Arabidopsis thaliana: one gene and its partners. The protein of the gene in region 1 interacts with the protein of each later gene in a pairwise test. Each region holds a gene or a part of one and is shown in the gene's direction. Other genes may lie near its edges.

Region 1 (3,857 bases):
ATGAATAATATTTTGGTAATAGGAGTACTTCATGCACAAGTCAACTGTTGTTTAAATAACATAAATCTTAGTTATAAATATTAAATAAAAAATAAAATACATAAATGGTGTCTTGGTAACAGGAACACTACATAAACATGTCAACTGATTTTAAATAACAAAATCTTAAAATAAATATTAAAATAAAAATGATAATACATGAATAGTGTCTTGGTAATAGGAGGAATACATAGAAAGATACACTGATTTTAAATAATAAAATATGAAATAAAAATACATAAATGATGTATTGGTAACATAAGCACTACATGCACATGTCAACTGATTTTAAATAACAAAAATGTTATGTTAAAACAAAAATAAAAATACATGAATGATGTCTTGGTAAGAGAAGGACTGCATGCATAGATCAACTGTTTTTAAATAACAGAAATCTTAACTCTAAATATTAAAACAAAAAGGAAAATACAGAAATAATGTCTTGATAATAGGAGCACTATATGCAAAGGTAAACATGTATTTTTTCTGCTTCCCTCCCATTCAAAGCCTTAATCAATGAAGTTTTGGCTAAAAGAATGATCTTTGACCGATGGAGTATTGTGTCGCTTGATGTGATCTTTTTACATTAGAATTGTGGTCATTTGTCTCAGGGAAAAGAGGAGCTATACAATATAACAAGAGGTCCTTCTTGAGGTGGTGAAGATCATAAAGAAGCACGGTTACGTTCCTTTTGTAATATTCCTTGGATCTCGAAATCGAGTACAAGTTCCTATCATGCTAATGGCGGAGATGGATGAAGGCATTTTACATTGTAATCTGTTCATTTAATTTGGATTGCTTTCATTGTTTCATTTGTTTGACATACATAGACACTAATAGTTGAGGATTATGTATTTACAACAATAAAGTGTTCCACTACACAAGGTACAATCGATATATATATAGTGTTAACTCTCATTTGTGTATATATGCATATCAGTTTGTAGGTGTTACTATGATAGTAGTACATTTATTAATTTATAAAAATTTATACGTAAAATACAATATTAATTTTTTAAAAAGAAAAATTTTAATTTAGTTTTTCTTTATGTTTTATTGTTTGTATATTCTGTTAGATTTTTTTTTATTACTTTTTTTATTTTTTCTCTGTAAGATATTGTGCATGTATACGACGTTAACGTGAGACTTAATCCAATTTTTTATTACACAAATCTTAACAATGATTTTTCATATAAAAAAAGTTACAAAACCAAATATGACGGATCAAATACGCAAAGAGTTATGTGAATACAAAAGAGATCACACCAACTATACTCTAGAAAGAGTTGCAATTATGACTTGAACAAAAGTTTCATATAAAATTAGTCTTTGAATGTATGCTAAAGATTTATGATTATTAATTTTATGATATTACTGGTACCATATTTTTACATAGGGATTTCAAAAAAAATATTATCTTATTATCTTATCGATTTTGGTTAATTTTTACATTACCCCGATTTGAGACCGACAAAATTTATTAATTTATCGTGTAATATGTTTTGTTCAAATACCTTTTAATATCTATTTAATAATAAAAAAATATTCAATCAGAAATGGATAATATATAATATAATTATTTACTTAAAATATATCAGCAATGAATCTTAAAATGTAGAAAAAACTAAATTTTAATTTATTATATAAAAAAGGTAGATAAAATATTTTATACTATTAAGTGACTAAAATGATAGATTTTTGCAAGAGCAAAATTGTACTATTGATGAATATTAAACAGTAGAAAAAAAGATGAAAGTGTTTGTTTTGTTATGAATGTTGAGAAAAGTATGGCCAAGTGTTACTCATCCTATTTTGCTTTTCTTTTTCTCTCGGGTTTCACTTTTTAAAGGTCGTGAAGATTGGGAATCACTGCTCTGCATGCGCCCTAGAATCAGCAAGTCTAAAGCAAGCAATAAGCATGGTGACTCCGAAGCAGATCGATTTCTCTTCCTGTGTTGGTGCTGATAACTCCAACGGTACCCTCTCCCATCGAAGATCTCCACGGAATATTCCTTCCTCAAAGCGTGCTGCTTCCGTCGCAGAAGAAGAGACTATGAAGAAGAAGATGAAGATGAAGAAGAAGAAGAAGAAATTGGATCCGCCGTTGATCGTCCGGATCTGGAACGAGGAAGATGAGCTCTCTATCTTAAAGGTATTGTATTGATCTTCTCCATTTATAGTTTGATTTGGTTTTGCATTGTGATTTTCTAAAACCAGATTTTCGAAATTGCTCAGGGGTTAGTTGATTACAGAGCTAAGACAGGATTCAATCCCAAAATTGATTGGGATGCGTTTTGTAGTTTCCTCGGAAGTTCTATCGTTGAGAGATTCTCCAAGGATCAGGTTTTGAGTAAAATCAGGAAGTTGAAAAGGAGGTTTCATGTTCACTCGGAGAAAATCAATCAAGGGAATGATCCCAAATTTACTAGGTCTAGTGATTCTGAAGCCTTTGGGTTTTCTTCGATGATTTGGGGACAAGGTGATGATGATGGTATGGATAAGGAGCACGAGGTAAACGGAAATGGTGCAGCGGAAAACCGGACTAACGAGAGCGGGGAGGAGATGTTGAAGGAGCACGAGGAGGAAGTGGCTAATACTGAACTTTTAAATGAGAATGGGGCAGCCAAAACAACAGAGAATGGGACTAGTAGTGGAAAAGAGAGACATGATGAGGACAATGATGATGATGATGAGTTATGCGCGGTGCAGGATGCATTTGAGGCGGTGATGTCGCAAGGTTTAAGTGGTTATCAAAAGAAGTTGCAGCTTGAGAAGCTGATGAACCTTGGAAATGGTAAAAGAAGAGAGTTGAGTGATGAATGGAAAGCGTTATGTGTTGAGGAAACAAGATTCAATATCAAGAAGCTTAGATTTTCCGCCAAGCTTGCAGAGGCAGCTAATGATAGTTAGATGAAACCAATATGCCCTTGTAGCATTTGGTGTTGTTTAGGTTCTTAGTAAGTCATAAGCTCTAGTCTGTTCAGTGTATTTATCTTTGGATCCTGTCTTTCTTCTACTTGGGCAAGTGTTTGTAAGATATTCCACTTTTTACTCAAGTATCCACAAGAGCCAATGTAGTAGAGTGGCTTGTGCAAGAGTCTAGAGTCTAGGGTTAATAATGTGCTTTAAGGCATGCTTGTGTGTGTGCCTAAGAGTGTAGTGAAGTAGTATAAGTAAGAGTGTGTGTGTGTCTTGTAATATTATCCAAGATATTAACAATGTAGAAGATTAAAAGAAAAATGGTTTTTGTTCTTACTCTCTAAGACAATGAAACCTTAAGAGTTATATCTTACCAAATAAAAGAGTCAAACATTGATTCATTTCAATATAGAGTTTCATTTGATTTCTAGCTTCACCTTGGAGCAGAACTTAAGGACGCAACTTGTTTCTTCTTCCCAAATCAGTTCCAACATGATGGATTCGTTTGCCTTCACATCGTTAGCTTGGATGAATCCTTGCCATCCTCCTACCATTCGTAGTCTTTTTCTTTTGTCGTCCTCGAACCGCAGAGTCGTTAACCACTTCACACCATGTTTATCCAACAGAGTCATTTTAGTTTCTTCATTGATACCATTCATCCTCGTGAAAGGAACCGGAAGACGCTGAAACATAGATTCACACAAAAGATTCTCATTCTATAGACTGTTAAAAGACAATGGCTTGGAATGATGAAACGTACCAGTAGAGAACTTTGGATTGTATAAGGTGTTAGAGTTAATGTCACAAATCGGTTTTCGGATAGTAAAGACTTTCTTCTTGAGATTTTCTCGTCGTGGATACTCTCTTCATCGCTTTCTTGCTCTGTCGAAAGAGAGACT
Region 2 (4,536 bases), on another chromosome or scaffold:
GAGGAAATAAATAAAGTCATCTTTTTGTTATTTAACGGCTGAAATTTCAATAGCAATTTAATTTGAATGATTCCAGTTCCACAAATATGAGTTGGTCATCTATATCACATGTAAGTTTTCTTAGTTATATTTAAAAATCATTAAAATCTAAGAGTAGTCCTTGGAGAGAACATGTCTCTTGTCTCCTAAACCTCCTTTATTATCCATCATCATTGTCACTAACCCTATTATTATTCCATTCACAGCGAAGAAAAAGAAGCAAAGAGTTCGTTATAAAGAAAGAAATAAACCCTCAGATAAGAGCATAACAGAGAAGAAGAAGAAGATGTCTTATCAAGACCCACAACATCCCGTTAGTGCTCCTCCTCCTCAAGGTAATTCCCAATTTTTTCCAAGTTTTTAGGGTATTTTTGTTTCTTGTTTCTTAAGTTTCGATGTTGTTGTTTTGTCAGGGTATCCTCCTAAGGAAGGATATCCACCAGCAGGGTATCCTCCACCAGCAGGTTATCCTCCACCACAATATCCTCAAGCGGGATATCCTCCAGCAGGTTATCCTCCACCGCAGCAAGGATACGGTCAAGGATATCCAGCACAAGGCTATCCTCCACCGCAATATCCTCAAGGTCATCCACCACAATATCCTTATCAAGGTCCTCCACCACCGCATTATGGTCAGGCTCCACCGAAAAATAAGAAAGATAAGAAGGATTCAGGAGGCTTCATGGAAGGATGGTGCGTTGACCAATTATCTCTCTCTTTTTATATTAACATATAGTTTTGAATACTTGAAGCTGATGATATACCTTTTTTTGGTTCATTATTCATAAATTTTGGTATGGAGTAATATGGATATTCAAAGTCTATATGTTTGGTACTTATAAAATGTGTATTTGTTTTGTATTACAGTTTGGCTATGCTCTGCTGTTGCGTTCTCTTGGAAGCTTGCTTTTGATCGGAAGATGAGCTGATATTTGCCGTTGACCGTCTTGAGGATGCTATTCAATTTTGTCAAACATGTTAAAAAGACGTGTTTGATATACATTTTAGATCTCTTCTTCTGGTTATGTGTGTCCACGTTTTGGGTTTGTTTCTTTAATTTTCTTTAATTTTATGAATGAATCCGAATTTGACTTGAGGTCTTGTTTACTTTCATGACTATTGATTGATTCAGGGTATGTTACCCATCTTTTGTATATGTGTGTTTTATCTTTTGTATAAAAGCCATTCATTCTTTCCAACTAGAGGAACACAAAAAAAGAAAGCAACCCAATTTTGTTCTCTTTCTCATCAAAAATGTAAGAAGAAGTGACTGTATCAACGTGATCAAAACTTAGCATTACCATCAAACTTATATAAATTTATACTTACGGTCCGATATATTTCCATTTTCCGTCTCAAACATATATGTCACATCCACCATTCCTCGGTTGATCAACTATTCAATGTACAAATTTTTATAAAAATACTACTAAATCGTATATAATCTTGAGTCTTCACTTCTTATATTTAATGTAAGAGAGTGGTTTAGTATCCACCGATTAACTCGGTTCAAACCAAAAATACACCAAAATGATATGACTGAATTGTGAAATCAGTCCAAGAACTAAAAGTCGATGAGCTCGGCATCGACCTCCATGAAGATAAGGAAAGATTCACTCAAATCTTAAGAAATAATACGGTAAAGAATATTAGACATATTCCCATCCGAAAAATAAGAAGCTCGATGACCAAACAAAAAATCCGTAATTCTATTTTCGAAAACCCTAAATTTATTATATTACTAAAAAATCTCTTGTAATTGTCAAGTTTACTCTCAAAAATCATTTTTCTTGAATCTCTTGTTTACTCTAATTTCTACTTTGCTTTTACTCGCATTGTTAATTTAATTTCATAAATTAATCCCTAATAGATCAAATGGGTGTATTTTTGCAATTATAAAGTTTAAGACGAATTTGTAAAAATGAAGATAATAAAGGGCTCCCAGTAAAGCACCTCAAAATCGATACATACTTCATCCTCCAACATGCGTAGGTGAATCGAAAGATTAAAGGTCAAATTTTTGTGTCTTCTCTTCCTCTGTCTCATGCCACAATTTTTAGATTTCAAACTTTGATCCATGACACTCTCCATAGCTTCCTCTCTCATTCCCTTCAGCTTTCTCAGGCATGTCTTCTTCTTCCTCTTCTTCTCCTTGTTAATTTCCCCATTTCCCTGATCGAAAGCTTTAATCTTTTTCTCGTGCGTGTCTTCGTAATCTCTGGCGTTTCTATTGAATTACTAATGCAATTGAAAAACTTGGGGATTTCATTATAAAGTATTGATCTTTGTGATGTTTTCATCTGTTCACAGAGAATTGAAGTCGAGACATTAGAAGTGTTTGTTGTGTGTGTGTGTGTGTTTCTATAGAATTTTTGAATTTTGTGATAAAATTGTGTGAATGGGAGCTCCAAAGCTGAAGTGGACACCAGAAGAAGAAACAGCTCTTAAAGCTGGAGTACTTAAACATGGAACTGGAAAATGGCGTACCATTCTCTCAGATCCTGTGTATAGCACAATTCTGAAGTCTCGTTCTAATGTGGATCTCAAGGTAAAAACATCAACAACTTTAAAGTGAAGAGAGATTATAGAAAAGTTCGAAACTTATACTATTGTTGTTGTCTACAGGACAAATGGAGAAATATAAGTGTAACAGCTTTATGGGGATCTAGGAAGAAGGCTAAGCTTGCTCTTAAAAGAACTCCTTTGTCGGGTAGTAGGCAAGACGATAACGCTACAGCTATTACCATTGTGTCTTTAGCTAATGGTGATGTAGGAGGACAACAGATTGATGCACCATCTCCTCCTGCAGGTTCTTGTGAACCTCCAAGACCTTCTACAAGGTTTGGTCTCTCTTCTTGTATTTGTATGAATTCTTGATGCTGTGAATGTGGAATATGGGAATAGTGAGGAATATAATAGGCTTGTTTTAATGTGTTTGTTGTAGTGTGGATAAGATTATATTGGAGGCTATTACCAGCTTGAAGAGACCATTTGGTCCTGACGGAAAGTCGATCTTGATGTATATAGAGGTACAATGAAGTTTTCCTTCTGTGTTTATTCGTTGTGTCTGTAAATAGTTAAGCATTGCTTACTGCATCTATATACAATCATCAAGGTCTTAGTGTTGCTGTAAATTTTCAGGAGAATTTCAAGATGCAACCGGATATGAAACGGCTTGTGACTTCAAGGCTGAAGTATTTGACAAATGTTGGAACATTAGTTAAGGTATAAAGAGAGATACTTTGATCGAAATTTCCTCTTGCAAATGTCACAAATTTAGCACTGACTTAACAATGGTTTTCTTGCGTTTGTTCTCACCTTTCAGAAAAAGCACAAATACAGGATTTCTCAGAATTATATGGCTGAAGGAGAAGGACAAAGGTCTCCTCAACTCTTGTTGGAAGGAAACAAGGAAAACACTCCGAAACCGGAGGAGAATGGCGTCAAAAATCTTACTAAATCCCAAGTAGGTGGAGAAGTTATGATAATGGGTATGACAGAAAAAGAAGCTGCTGCAGCAGCTGCAAGAGCTGTGGCAGAAGCAGAATTTGCAATGGCAGAAGCTGAAGAAGCAGCAAGAGAGGCAGATAAAGCAGAAGCCGAAGCTGAAGCTGCCCATATTTTTGCAAAAGCGGCGATGAAAGCTGTGAAGTATAGAATGCATAGCCAAACTCGGTAAGAATTAAGAAAATCATTGATGTTGTATCGGTTGATATATCTTCAATTCTTCATGTTATGTCAAGTTTCGATCTTGCATCGAAATCAACATTTTACAATCGCCGCAGTGTTTTTAGTCAGTAACAGTGTCTTCTAACTCAGATGATTATGTAAAACCTGTTCCTTCTCTTGCTTCTGTTGATCTGGTTTTGTTAGTAACTTCACAGGTTTCTCGTGAACCATTTTGAAACTGGTTTGAAAAGATATAAATAAGGCCTTTGATTTGTATACAGAGCTTATTTCCGTTTCCTTGGATTTTTAGAAGTTGAAAAATTGAGACACTTATGTTTTTGTTGCAAAGCCTTAAGAATAGAAAACAACCTCTTGAGCAAACTAGACCAGACCAGACCAGCAGGTGAGACAGAAGACAAATAAAGACAAACTCTTGTTTCACGCGAAATTAGTTCAAGACTCATCATCATCATTAACCAGACAACAGAGGACGAGTAAGAAGATCAAGAAGAGAGAACATATGATGTTCTTGTTGAAGTTTAGTTCTTTGATTTTGAGTGATTTACAAGCCAATCAGTGAGCTGATCAATGGTGGTAGGGTTCTTGCAGGATATCATGAGACAGCAGACTTCTCTACTTGTAACCGAACTAAGCCCCCTGCAACAAAAACAAGGCAAGAAGCATAATCAGATCGAGCTAAATGAGATGCCTTTAGTGCTGTTTTTGGAGTGTTCAGATGAATAAAGAGCTATACATTTCTTCTGTCAAGGCTTCTTTGGAAAGAGCTCCATGTATGTCAATCTTGTTCCCAAGAACCAAAAGAGGAAT
Region 3 (3,916 bases), on another chromosome or scaffold:
GTCTGTGTTATGCACGGTTTGCTCTGTACCGGTCAGAATGTTGTTAACCGGAGATCTAACCTGTTTGGTTTGGCCAGATTGTGCCCCAATGTCGCCACTTCCACCTGAACATTAACCATAATTCAAAATCATCTACATGCAAATAGCATAATTTTCGTGATTCTTTAACAGAATCAACACATCGAATTATATACTAAAAAAAAACTATATACATATACCAACCAATTTTAGTTTATTTTTAAAAGAAGGTTGTTATATACCTTCTTGGCGAGAAGAGCTGCTAGGATCGGATACGGAGGAGGAGGTGCAAATGGGTGACCCAATCGTAACGTCTTTACTGCTTTCCTTGAGTCGACCCGACCCGTAACCGTTACACATGTTGATAGAGCTCAAATCCATATCATCGCCGTTACTAACTCCGTTATATTCTGTTCTGATCCTCTTGCACTCTCCTTCTTCTCCGCTTCTCTGCTGCTGCTTCGCCTCCCGCTTCTTCCGTGTTTCCTTTATCCTCGTCACATTCGTCGTTCTGCCGTCAAGATTAACGCCGTTATCCTTCTCGAATCCGACGGCGTTAGATTGTCCAAATGTTTTAGATTTCTCCGTTTTCTTGAAAGGACCTCCCAGGGAAAGACATAGCTCGAGCTCGAGCTCGACCTCCACATTCTCATCTTCTACAAACTTTTCTGCCATTGATAAAGATTCAACAAACATATAATGTCAAAAAGATGGTCTCTTGTCTTCCGCAAAATTTTCCTCTTGAAGGGTTTTGAAGCTTCGCCAACTTTGTTGTATGAGAAAGGAATATTATAAGGGGCGGAGATAATTAAAAAGAGAATGGTAAAGGCTTCGGAACATGACACATGTCCGATAAGGATAGTGGACATGGGCGGTTTCAAAATTCACTAAGAGAAAGGTTAAGAAACTTTATTAGCGCTACAATTTCGGATTATCGATAAACGCTTTCCATTTATTTTGTTGGTTTCTATTTCCATTGGTTGTAAAAATCAAGTAAAATTTTGACGAAAAGTACCGAGACGCCACGTGTAACACGTGCATGGAAACAGTTAACACGTGTACACTGAGATCCTGCTGGCTTTGACGAGGACACGTTGGGTGTTTTGAATTCTTGTGTTCGTATCTGACTCCGCGAATCTCGAGCATAAACACGACCCCGGGATTGACATGTGGCGACCATCTTCGAGAGACAGTGCAATAGGTTAGACAGTCCAGGTCAGCAAATGACGCCGTAACGGTTATTCTCATCTGATGTGTGTCGACGTGGTTCATGTTTGGCTGGCTTCATGGGCACGTGCTAGATGACAAATGGCTGTAAAGAATTATGTTGAGTAGATAGATGACTCGTGTCTTTATTCGAATAGTGGAATAGCTTGTTGAAGTTGCTTTATTATAGCTTGGCTATCACAAGTTCCAGCCTTACTCTTGCATGAATTGCACCTGGAAAGTGGAAAGAGGATTGAGACTATTTGAATTGTTGACAAGAAAAACAAAGGAAGATTCTGCGAATACACTGTGGAATATAGCAAATGTTCTTTTCTCGTTGTGATTTTTTCGGTTGATTAAATGTTTAACAAAATGTAAAGCAAAGATTCTAGAAAAAGAAAACCATTCTTGACTTTGCTATTTCTTTGACAAAAATGTGACGATATTCTTATGAACTTTTCATCATATTTTATCATCATAATTTCAAGCCTTACGGTTATCACATGATCCATATTCATGTCAATGTCATGCTTATCCCCGAATATTACATACTACTGGGTTTATGTACATAAGATCCGGTTCACGTTAATGGGCTGATGCTTTTTAGATAAGGCCCAACTAAAGCTGTTTCTTTTGTTAGCCGTGGAAACAAACTGCCCGTTTTGATTTGATCGCCGTAAGGCCCGTAACATTGACAGTGGAGAGGCTGAAAACATGATGGGTATAATAGTCATTTACTTGAGAAGCCTTTATATTTTTCATTGTACGGTTTAACCACAACATATCTAAACCGGTTTCCAAACACATTCTATTACTATGTAACCCCAAATTTGATCTCCGACTTCAAAATCGGAGAAATTTCACGGCATGGCTACAGCCGTTGGAAGCGGGAGCGATGTAGAGGTTGGATTTGCGAAGCTCCAAGGTGAGGATTTCGAGTACTATATGCAGTCTTACTCCATTATTCTCGGCCGGAATTCTAAGAAATCGACCGTCGACGTCGACCTCTCATCTCTCGGCGGTGGGATGAACATTTCTCGCAACCACGCTCGGATCTTCTATGACTTCACTAGACGACGCTTCTCTCTCGAGGTACTTGGCAAAAATGGCTGCTTCGTTGAAGGTGTCCTCCATCTCCCTGGGAACCCCAACGTCAAGCTCGATTCACAGGACCTTTTGCAGATTGGTGACAAGGAGTTCTACTTCCTGCTTCCGGTTTGGAGTATCCTAGGCGGTCCATTGGGACCCAGGCACCACGTCTTAGGGAAGGCTACTGTTGTTCCGTACCATAATTATCATTCGGGTCCAGGTTCCGGGTCGGGTAAGAATGGCGTCCGGAGTAGAGAGTTGTATGAGTACGATGATGAAGACGACGATGAAGAGGAGGATATCAGAGGCAGTGGAAAGAAAACATGGAGAGATGGACATGAAGGAGTATATGCCTCTGGAGGTAAAACCAAATTGCTCATGATAGCTTAACTTCATTGTGTCACTAAATAGATTTCAGGCTTGTTCTAGACTTTGAGTATAAGTTTTACTGTGGTGGTTGATGATTGAACCTTGTTAGACTTAGATTGAATGATAGTGACACCACGACATTGTATCTGCTTCATTTGTGCAGAGAAGAAGAGAGAGGGAAGATCAAAGGCAGATCGTGAAGCTGATGATCAACAATTTTTGCAGCTAATGCATGGTAGTGGTTGGTCTGTGACAGATATTAAAGGAGTATGGAAACGTATGGCATCACAGTCGAGTAAGAAGATACCTATCACAAGAAGACTGGGCTATCCCTGAAGCAAAAGGTAAACCATGGTACGGTTTGCTGATGCTGCTGAGAAAATACCCGGAGCATTTCGTCATCAACACGAGATCAAAGGGAAGAGTTACCCTTGAATTCGTTTCCCTCGTTACCCTACTCTCATAATCATCGAGATGATTGTTAGTGCAGGAGCAGGATGATTGGTAGTATATCTTTTATGTTTCCACGTAATGAGTGTATAAGTGGGTGTTAGGTGTTTTGACCTTGGTGACTCGTCGGATTAAGTTTTTCTCGCTTTTCTTTGTTACGTTGTATATGTAGAATGACAATGACATTGATGAGTAAAACACTCTCGGATTTAACCTTTTCTCTCTCTTCAAGAAATCGCATAAGCTATTTTCAGCCATATACATACTATAGCCTATATGGCTATTCAACATTAATACACTCTCGGGTAAATTTAACCTTTTAGTTGTTTTCTTATGGCGAAAGCGGATTTGGTTTGCATATTATTTAGTTGAAAAGAAAAATCAAACGAGAAAATATATCACAACCCAAAAGTATACTATACAAAATTCAGATAAAGTTGTCTCAAAAGTACTATGCATAGTACAGATAAAGTTGTCGGAAGGAAATATTAGTATGATTTTCCCCGTCTCATTACTGTACATCACTTAGTCAACGCATACACTGTTAAAAGTCAACACATACAATCATTCAAAAACGTTTGGAGTTTAACACATAACACATCACAAGAGTGATCATCACAAATTAGAAGTTTATTTTACAAACTTGAGCCTATTAAGTTTTTACTTTTTGGCCTAATGAAAATTGAAACCACTTTATTCAAACCCAAAAATCAACTTTCTTCTCTTGTTTTATCGGTGGTCAAGATCTAGGCTGTTCGCAATAACATTTATTATTTTTTTTTCC
Region 4 (5,776 bases), on another chromosome or scaffold:
ATTGTCACTACACCTCAAAACGCAGGCCGGTTCAAGAACGTTCTTAGCCGGGCTATCCAATCCGGCTTGCCCATCAATCTCGTGCAAGTAAAGTTTCCATCTCAAGAATCGGGTTCACCGGAAGGACAGGAGAATTTGGACTTGCTCGATTCATTGGGGGCTTCATTAACCTTCTTCAAAGCATTTAGCCTGCTCGAGGAACCAGTCGAGAAGCTCTTGAAAGAGATTCAACCTAGGCCAAACTGCATAATCGCTGACATGTGTTTGCCTTATACAAACAGAATTGCCAAGAATCTTGGTATACCAAAAATCATCTTTCATGGCATGTGTTGCTTCAATCTTCTTTGTACGCACATAATGCACCAAAACCACGAGTTCTTGGAAACTATAGAGTCTGACAAGGAATACTTCCCCATTCCTAATTTCCCTGACAGAGTTGAGTTCACAAAATCTCAGCTTCCAATGGTATTAGTTGCTGGAGATTGGAAAGACTTCCTTGACGGAATGACAGAAGGGGATAACACTTCTTATGGTGTGATTGTTAACACGTTTGAAGAGCTCGAGCCAGCTTATGTTAGAGACTACAAGAAGGTTAAAGCGGGTAAGATATGGAGCATCGGACCGGTTTCCTTGTGCAACAAGTTAGGAGAAGACCAAGCTGAGAGGGGAAACAAGGCGGACATTGATCAAGACGAGTGTATTAAATGGCTTGATTCTAAAGAAGAAGGGTCGGTGCTATATGTTTGCCTTGGAAGTATATGCAATCTTCCTCTGTCTCAGCTCAAAGAGCTCGGCTTAGGCCTCGAGGAATCCCAAAGACCTTTCATTTGGGTCATAAGAGGTTGGGAGAAGTATAACGAGTTACTTGAATGGATCTCAGAGAGCGGTTATAAGGAAAGAATCAAAGAAAGAGGCCTTCTCATAACAGGATGGTCGCCTCAAATGCTTATCCTTACACATCCTGCCGTTGGAGGATTCTTGACACATTGTGGATGGAACTCTACTCTTGAAGGAATCACTTCAGGCGTTCCATTACTCACGTGGCCACTGTTTGGAGACCAATTCTGCAATGAGAAATTGGCGGTGCAGATACTAAAAGCCGGTGTGAGAGCTGGGGTTGAAGAGTCCATGAGATGGGGAGAAGAGGAGAAAATAGGAGTACTGGTGGATAAAGAAGGAGTAAAGAAGGCAGTGGAGGAATTGATGGGTGATAGTAATGATGCTAAGGAGAGAAGAAAAAGAGTGAAAGAGCTTGGAGAATTAGCTCACAAGGCTGTGGAAGAAGGAGGCTCTTCTCATTCCAACATCACATTCTTGCTACAAGACATAATGCAATTAGAACAACCCAAGAAATGATTGTAACTTTTCTTAGATTGTAACTTTTCTTTTGTATTACCCAAAAAAAATGATTGTGACGTTTGTTCTCGATTACTTCTCTTTGTTCAAGAACAATTTATGATAGTTTTATTTGAAATTGTCTCTATTATCGAATCTTATACTAACATCTTAGTTAGTACATACTTATTAAGCATTCGAATTCGTACACTCAAATTGAAGAAAAAAACACAATTTCTTATATACTTTTTTTTTTTCTGTAGCTTTAGAAGAGTGTAGAAACCTTCTCCAGTGGTCCTGCATGAGATCGCAACTTCGATATTGCTTGCTCCTTGGAGTTTAGAGGAGTGTAGAAACACTTTTTGTTTGTTTACTTTTGCTTTCTCGATCATGACAAGTTGACAACTCGTGTTATATCCAAAATGACATCATGCATGACTTGAAAATTGAAATCTATCTATGATATTACCATTTCTGGACAATTTTGTTAACCGATTTATATATCTTAACATCTTTCTTTTTTGGTATTATTTACGTTACGATTTTTCATCGTAAATTTAATTTAAAATTTTATATATGCCAGTGTAAAAAGAAATTACTCAAGGTCATTAATAAAAATAAAAATAAAACGTTTTTCCCCAGCGGTCTATCATTGTAAGTTTTATTTTACAAAAAGAATCTTCTAATATAATATGGGCTTTGAAAATGTCTAAGTGGAAGGCCCATTAATATCTCAAGTCCAATAACAATGGTGTACGAACCAGCGGCACCGTGTGTGAAAGAGTGAATCAAAGAGGTGCGGCGGTCGCCGGCGAAGACGTGTGCTCGTCGAAGAAACTTCTCCAACCTAAAATTTTCCGAAGGTAACTCCTCGAGCGAGATTTTAAGCTCATCACACAAATTACTTTTCATTCTCGCTTTCATGGGCTCTTCTTCGATTACTGTGTACATCACTCAAATTTTGGGTTTTTGTTCCTGTTTCCCTCTCGATATAATCGTAAAGTCTTGAAATTGCGAGAAACCCTAATTTGGGGGTTCCTTGCTGATTTGTTAATTTGTGTGTTATGACATTTTCGTTTAAATTTGTGAACTTGTAGAAGTAAGAGTTGAGCAAGTTATCAATGGAAATCGATGAAGAAGAGCCAATGGTGTTCTTGGACCGTACAACAAGAGCAACACGGGGTAAACGGTAAGAATTACTTGAGCTTAAGCTTTTACCTGATGAATGTGTTTCACCTGAAGATTGTGGTTTTGTCTCACTGTTATTGAGATGTATCAGAAACTCTCTTGTGGAAGCTTTATTCATCAGTTTTCTGTTTTTTTTCAGGATGACCAAGTTGCTTGATGACGAAGTAGAAGAAGATGAACAGTTTTGGAATCAAGAAGCTCTTAAAGAGGTTTGTTTTGTTTTATATATAGCTTACTCTCTTAAAGAGATGTTAATGATTTGTTAAGGTAGACTAGATGTCAAAATATATAATGGAAAAAAATCAGATTTGTAGACAAGATACTATCGCAGAAACTTTCGTGTGTTTGCTGACATTTATGTATCTCTTTACTTTTGTTATCTGCAGGAAGAACATGATGATGAATATGAAGCAGAACGTGAGGTTGCTGATGAGTTTGACAGTGACTTCAATGACGATGTATTTATGTCTTGCTTATGTATTGAGTACTTATTCATCAAGGTTTTTGCTTATATTTCCATTCTTTTTAATTTCTTTCTTTTGCCTTTTGTTTGGGATTAGGAGCCTGAGCCTGATGCAGTCGCTGTAAATGAAAAAGAATTGAGGTTTGAATTTTTTCAAAGCTTGTCTTATGATGGCTATTATGTGTGTCTGTTTTAATTTTGTTACAATTTTGCATATTGTTGTAGGGATCTGCCAAAGAAGCGGCTGATTTACCCTGGGAAAACTGCTTCAAAGAAAAAGAAAAAGAAGACGAAGGTAGTTTCACAACTAGAATATATTCCTGGAGATGAGAAGCCAGGTGAAGAATTGGGAAACAAGGAACAAGAAGAAAAAGAAGAGAATGAAGCACAAGAAGATATGGAAGGTGAGAAAGTCATTAGGAAATCAACACGGACTTCAGTGGTTGTACGGCAAGCAGAAAGAGATGCATTGCGTGCTGCTATACAAGCAACAACAAAGGTTTCTCAGAACTCATCCCCACTAGCTATTTACATTCATGGCTACACTTTAATCTCTTTTCTAAGTCTTGCCATGTTGAATTCTTTTTTGTGTTTGTTCAGCCAATACAAAGGAAAAAAGTAGGGGAGGAAAAACGGATGACCCAAGAAGAAATGCTGCTGGAAGCTGCTCAAACAGGTTTGGCTTTTATGATGCTGCATCTGATTTGCTCTATCAGAAACTCAAAATTGCTAAAGTCAGGTTCTTGCAGAAATCATGAACTTGAGGAATTTAGAACGTGTCTTGGCAAGGGAAGAAGAAGTAAAAAAGAAAGCGATTGTGCATAAAGCAGTCTACAAGGGTCCTCAGATTCGGTATCATTCAAAAGATGGTAAGCTCTCCAGTAAAATAGTAATCCAGTCTAATTGGATCTTTCCAGAAAAGTAAGAACTATATTTGTTTAAACTTTTAACTTTACATGCAGGATGTAACTATTTAGAATTCTGTAATGGTGCGTCATTCAATTCAGAGTTGTCGACGAAGTCTGTTCCCTGTAAGTAATTTTGAGTGGTGTTTGGAGATGAACATAAATGTGTTCATATTGATCTATACTGATCTCTGTCTTTCTTTTGGTTTGTTTTCTCTTTTCCAGATCCAGAAAAAGCTGTATGTGTGATTACGGGATTACCTGCCAAGTAAGAGTTTTTCTGTTCTTCTTCTTTATTCATCGGAAGAACAAGATCTCTGGGATGAACACAAGTAGACTCTCTTAGGTCTACTAAAAAGAAGTTATCAGTTTCTTTGATATATACTTCTCGAAAAGAAATGATGTTATAACCTAGAAACCTGATTATCTTTTCTCTGCAATTTTAGAACTAGTTCTTAGCTGTTGTGTGTATTGCTGATACAGGTACCGGGATCCAAAAACGGGTCTTCCTTATGCAACTAGAGACGCCTTCAAAGCAATACGTGAAAGGTGTTGCTTGATCCAATTATTGCTGCATCGATGTTTTCACTTGTCTATAGAAGTATTCATCTGTTGTTTCCTCTAACGGATCAAGCAAATGAATGTTATCGAGTGAAACAGGCCTTTGATATTTACATTGTCTTTATTAGTGTTAGAATCTGATATTTCCCAGTCTTATGTTTATTGTTCTGAAGGTTCATGGACGAACATGATGGTTTGAGAAAGAAAATGGAGATGGGAGATTTGTTTGATACACTAGTGGCGAAAGGTTTTGCAACAAAACAAAAGAGAACGAAGATTCCAAAGAGTAACAAATCATTTTCCCTCAGAAGCTCAGCTCGTTTCCTTAGCTCCGAGTCTGAAGAAGAGAGTGAAGAAGATTCAGATTAATAAACACCTCCCTGATTTGGTTAGTATATTAATATAAAGCCTTTAGTTTTCATGAAACATGATCATGAACTCACAGTTGTAATCATGCTCTGCAGAATCTGCATCTCACATGATTGTGATACATCATTCATGGATCTTCCCACGACCATGGTTTTGGTTCTCAGAGATTAGAAGCGAGAAGAACATTCATGGAGGAAATTTTCATGATCAGAGCTTTGAAATGGAAACAACAACACTCTAATCAGAGATTGATCCTCCTAACCAAAACCTCTGACACCCATCTCAGAATCAGAGAGAAAGTGTAATCTTCTGTATATTACTGACCTTGTAAAGATGATATGTTTTGGTTGATAAATATCAATTTCACATTAAACCGAACCGAATAAGCTTTTGATTTTACTTCGGTTCCGTTAAAACCGTTCCAAATCTATAAATATATCACCGATTTGAAAATTGAAACTTTTTGCGATTTCTAAGAGCTCCAATGGCATAATGATTTGGAGTTCAGATTCATGCTTCAAATCCAGGAAACACCAATGTCTTATCTTCCTCAAGCTATGTTCCTCAATTAAACACCTTCTACAGATCCATGGTCAAATCCATCTCTCCTCTCTCCAAAATGACAGCTTTATCATCAGCGAGCTTGTACGGGTTTCATCACTATCCCTCGCCAAAGACCTTGCCTTTGCGCGAACCCTTCTGCTTCACTCTTCAGATTCGACTCCTTCTACTTGGAATATGCTCAGTAGAGGCTATTCTTCAAGTGATTCTCCTGTGGAATCGATTTGGGTTTACTCTGAGATGAAGAGACGAGGAATCAAACCTAATAAGCTCACTTTTCCTTTTCTTCTCAAGGCTTGTGCTTCGTTTTTAGGTCTCACTGCTGGGAGACAGATTCAAGTTGAGGTTTTGAAACATGGGTTTGATTTTGATGTATATGTTGGGAACAATTTGA

Evidence for each region.
Region 2: the proteins of AT4G00270 (region 1) and TRB3 interact in a two-hybrid assay, tested with the Arabidopsis thaliana proteins (one large-scale study listed by BioGRID).
Region 3: the proteins of AT4G00270 (region 1) and AT3G07260 interact in a two-hybrid assay, tested with the Arabidopsis thaliana proteins (one large-scale study listed by BioGRID).
Region 4: the proteins of AT4G00270 (region 1) and SWC2 interact in a two-hybrid assay, tested with the Arabidopsis thaliana proteins (one large-scale study listed by BioGRID).

What each region holds. Positions count from the first base shown.
Region 1 is NC_003075.7:116,569-120,425, reverse strand, and holds AT4G00270 (DNA-binding storekeeper protein-related transcriptional regulator), read left to right. Parts: upstream 1-1,782; 5' UTR 1,783-1,957; coding exon 1,958-2,191; intron 2,192-2,274; coding exon 2,275-2,949; 3' UTR 2,950-3,341; downstream 3,342-3,857. Other genes in the region: MEE45 (Transcriptional factor B3 family protein), read right to left, coding at 3,375-3,674, 3,719-3,857. UniProt on the Arabidopsis thaliana protein: DNA-binding protein, which specifically recognizes the GL1 enhancer sequence. May be involved in leaf initiation. May play redundant roles with GPL1 and GPL2 in cytokinin responses by regulating the transcript levels of type-A ARR response genes.
Region 2 is NC_003074.8:18,487,014-18,491,549, forward strand, and holds TRB3 (telomere repeat binding factor 3), read left to right. Parts: upstream 1-1,979; 5' UTR 1,980-2,163; exon of another isoform or gene 2,164-2,349; 5' UTR 2,350-2,437; coding exon 2,438-2,587; intron 2,588-2,664; coding exon 2,665-2,879; intron 2,880-2,983; coding exon 2,984-3,068; intron 3,069-3,180; coding exon 3,181-3,264; intron 3,265-3,364; coding exon 3,365-3,718; 3' UTR 3,719-3,983; downstream 3,984-4,536. Other genes in the region: WIH3 (cysteine-rich TM module stress tolerance protein), read left to right, coding at 326-374, 453-732, 907-952; ARLA1B (ADP-ribosylation factor-like A1B), read right to left, coding at 4,248-4,365, 4,463-4,536.
Region 3 is NC_003074.8:2,307,613-2,311,528, forward strand, and holds AT3G07260 (SMAD/FHA domain-containing protein), read left to right. Parts: upstream 1-1,996; 5' UTR 1,997-2,091; coding exon 2,092-2,674; intron 2,675-2,845; coding exon 2,846-3,018; 3' UTR 3,019-3,371; downstream 3,372-3,916. Other genes in the region: AT3G07255 (nuclear transport factor 2/RNA recognition motif protein), read right to left, coding at 1-104, 261-714. UniProt on the Arabidopsis thaliana protein: May play a role in the control of plant organ development. Does not show transactivation activity in yeast.
Region 4 is NC_003071.7:15,406,111-15,411,886, reverse strand, and holds SWC2 (DNA binding protein SWC2), read left to right. Parts: upstream 1-1,974; 5' UTR 1,975-2,198; intron 2,199-2,432; 5' UTR 2,433-2,456; coding exon 2,457-2,524; intron 2,525-2,662; coding exon 2,663-2,732; intron 2,733-2,909; coding exon 2,910-2,981; intron 2,982-3,083; coding exon 3,084-3,127; intron 3,128-3,211; coding exon 3,212-3,485; intron 3,486-3,586; coding exon 3,587-3,662; intron 3,663-3,735; coding exon 3,736-3,855; intron 3,856-3,948; coding exon 3,949-4,017; intron 4,018-4,116; coding exon 4,117-4,159; intron 4,160-4,374; coding exon 4,375-4,440; coding exon of another isoform or gene 4,441-4,516; exon of another isoform or gene 4,517-4,625; coding exon 4,626-4,821; 3' UTR 4,822-4,840; intron 4,841-4,916; 3' UTR 4,917-5,265; downstream 5,266-5,776. Other genes in the region: UGT73C1 (UDP-glucosyl transferase 73C1), read left to right, coding at 1-1,356; AT2G36730 (Pentatricopeptide repeat (PPR) superfamily protein), read left to right, coding at 5,314-5,776. UniProt on the Arabidopsis thaliana protein: Component of the SWR1 complex which mediates the ATP-dependent exchange of histone H2A for the H2A variant H2A.F/Z leading to transcriptional regulation of selected genes (e.g. FLC) by chromatin remodeling.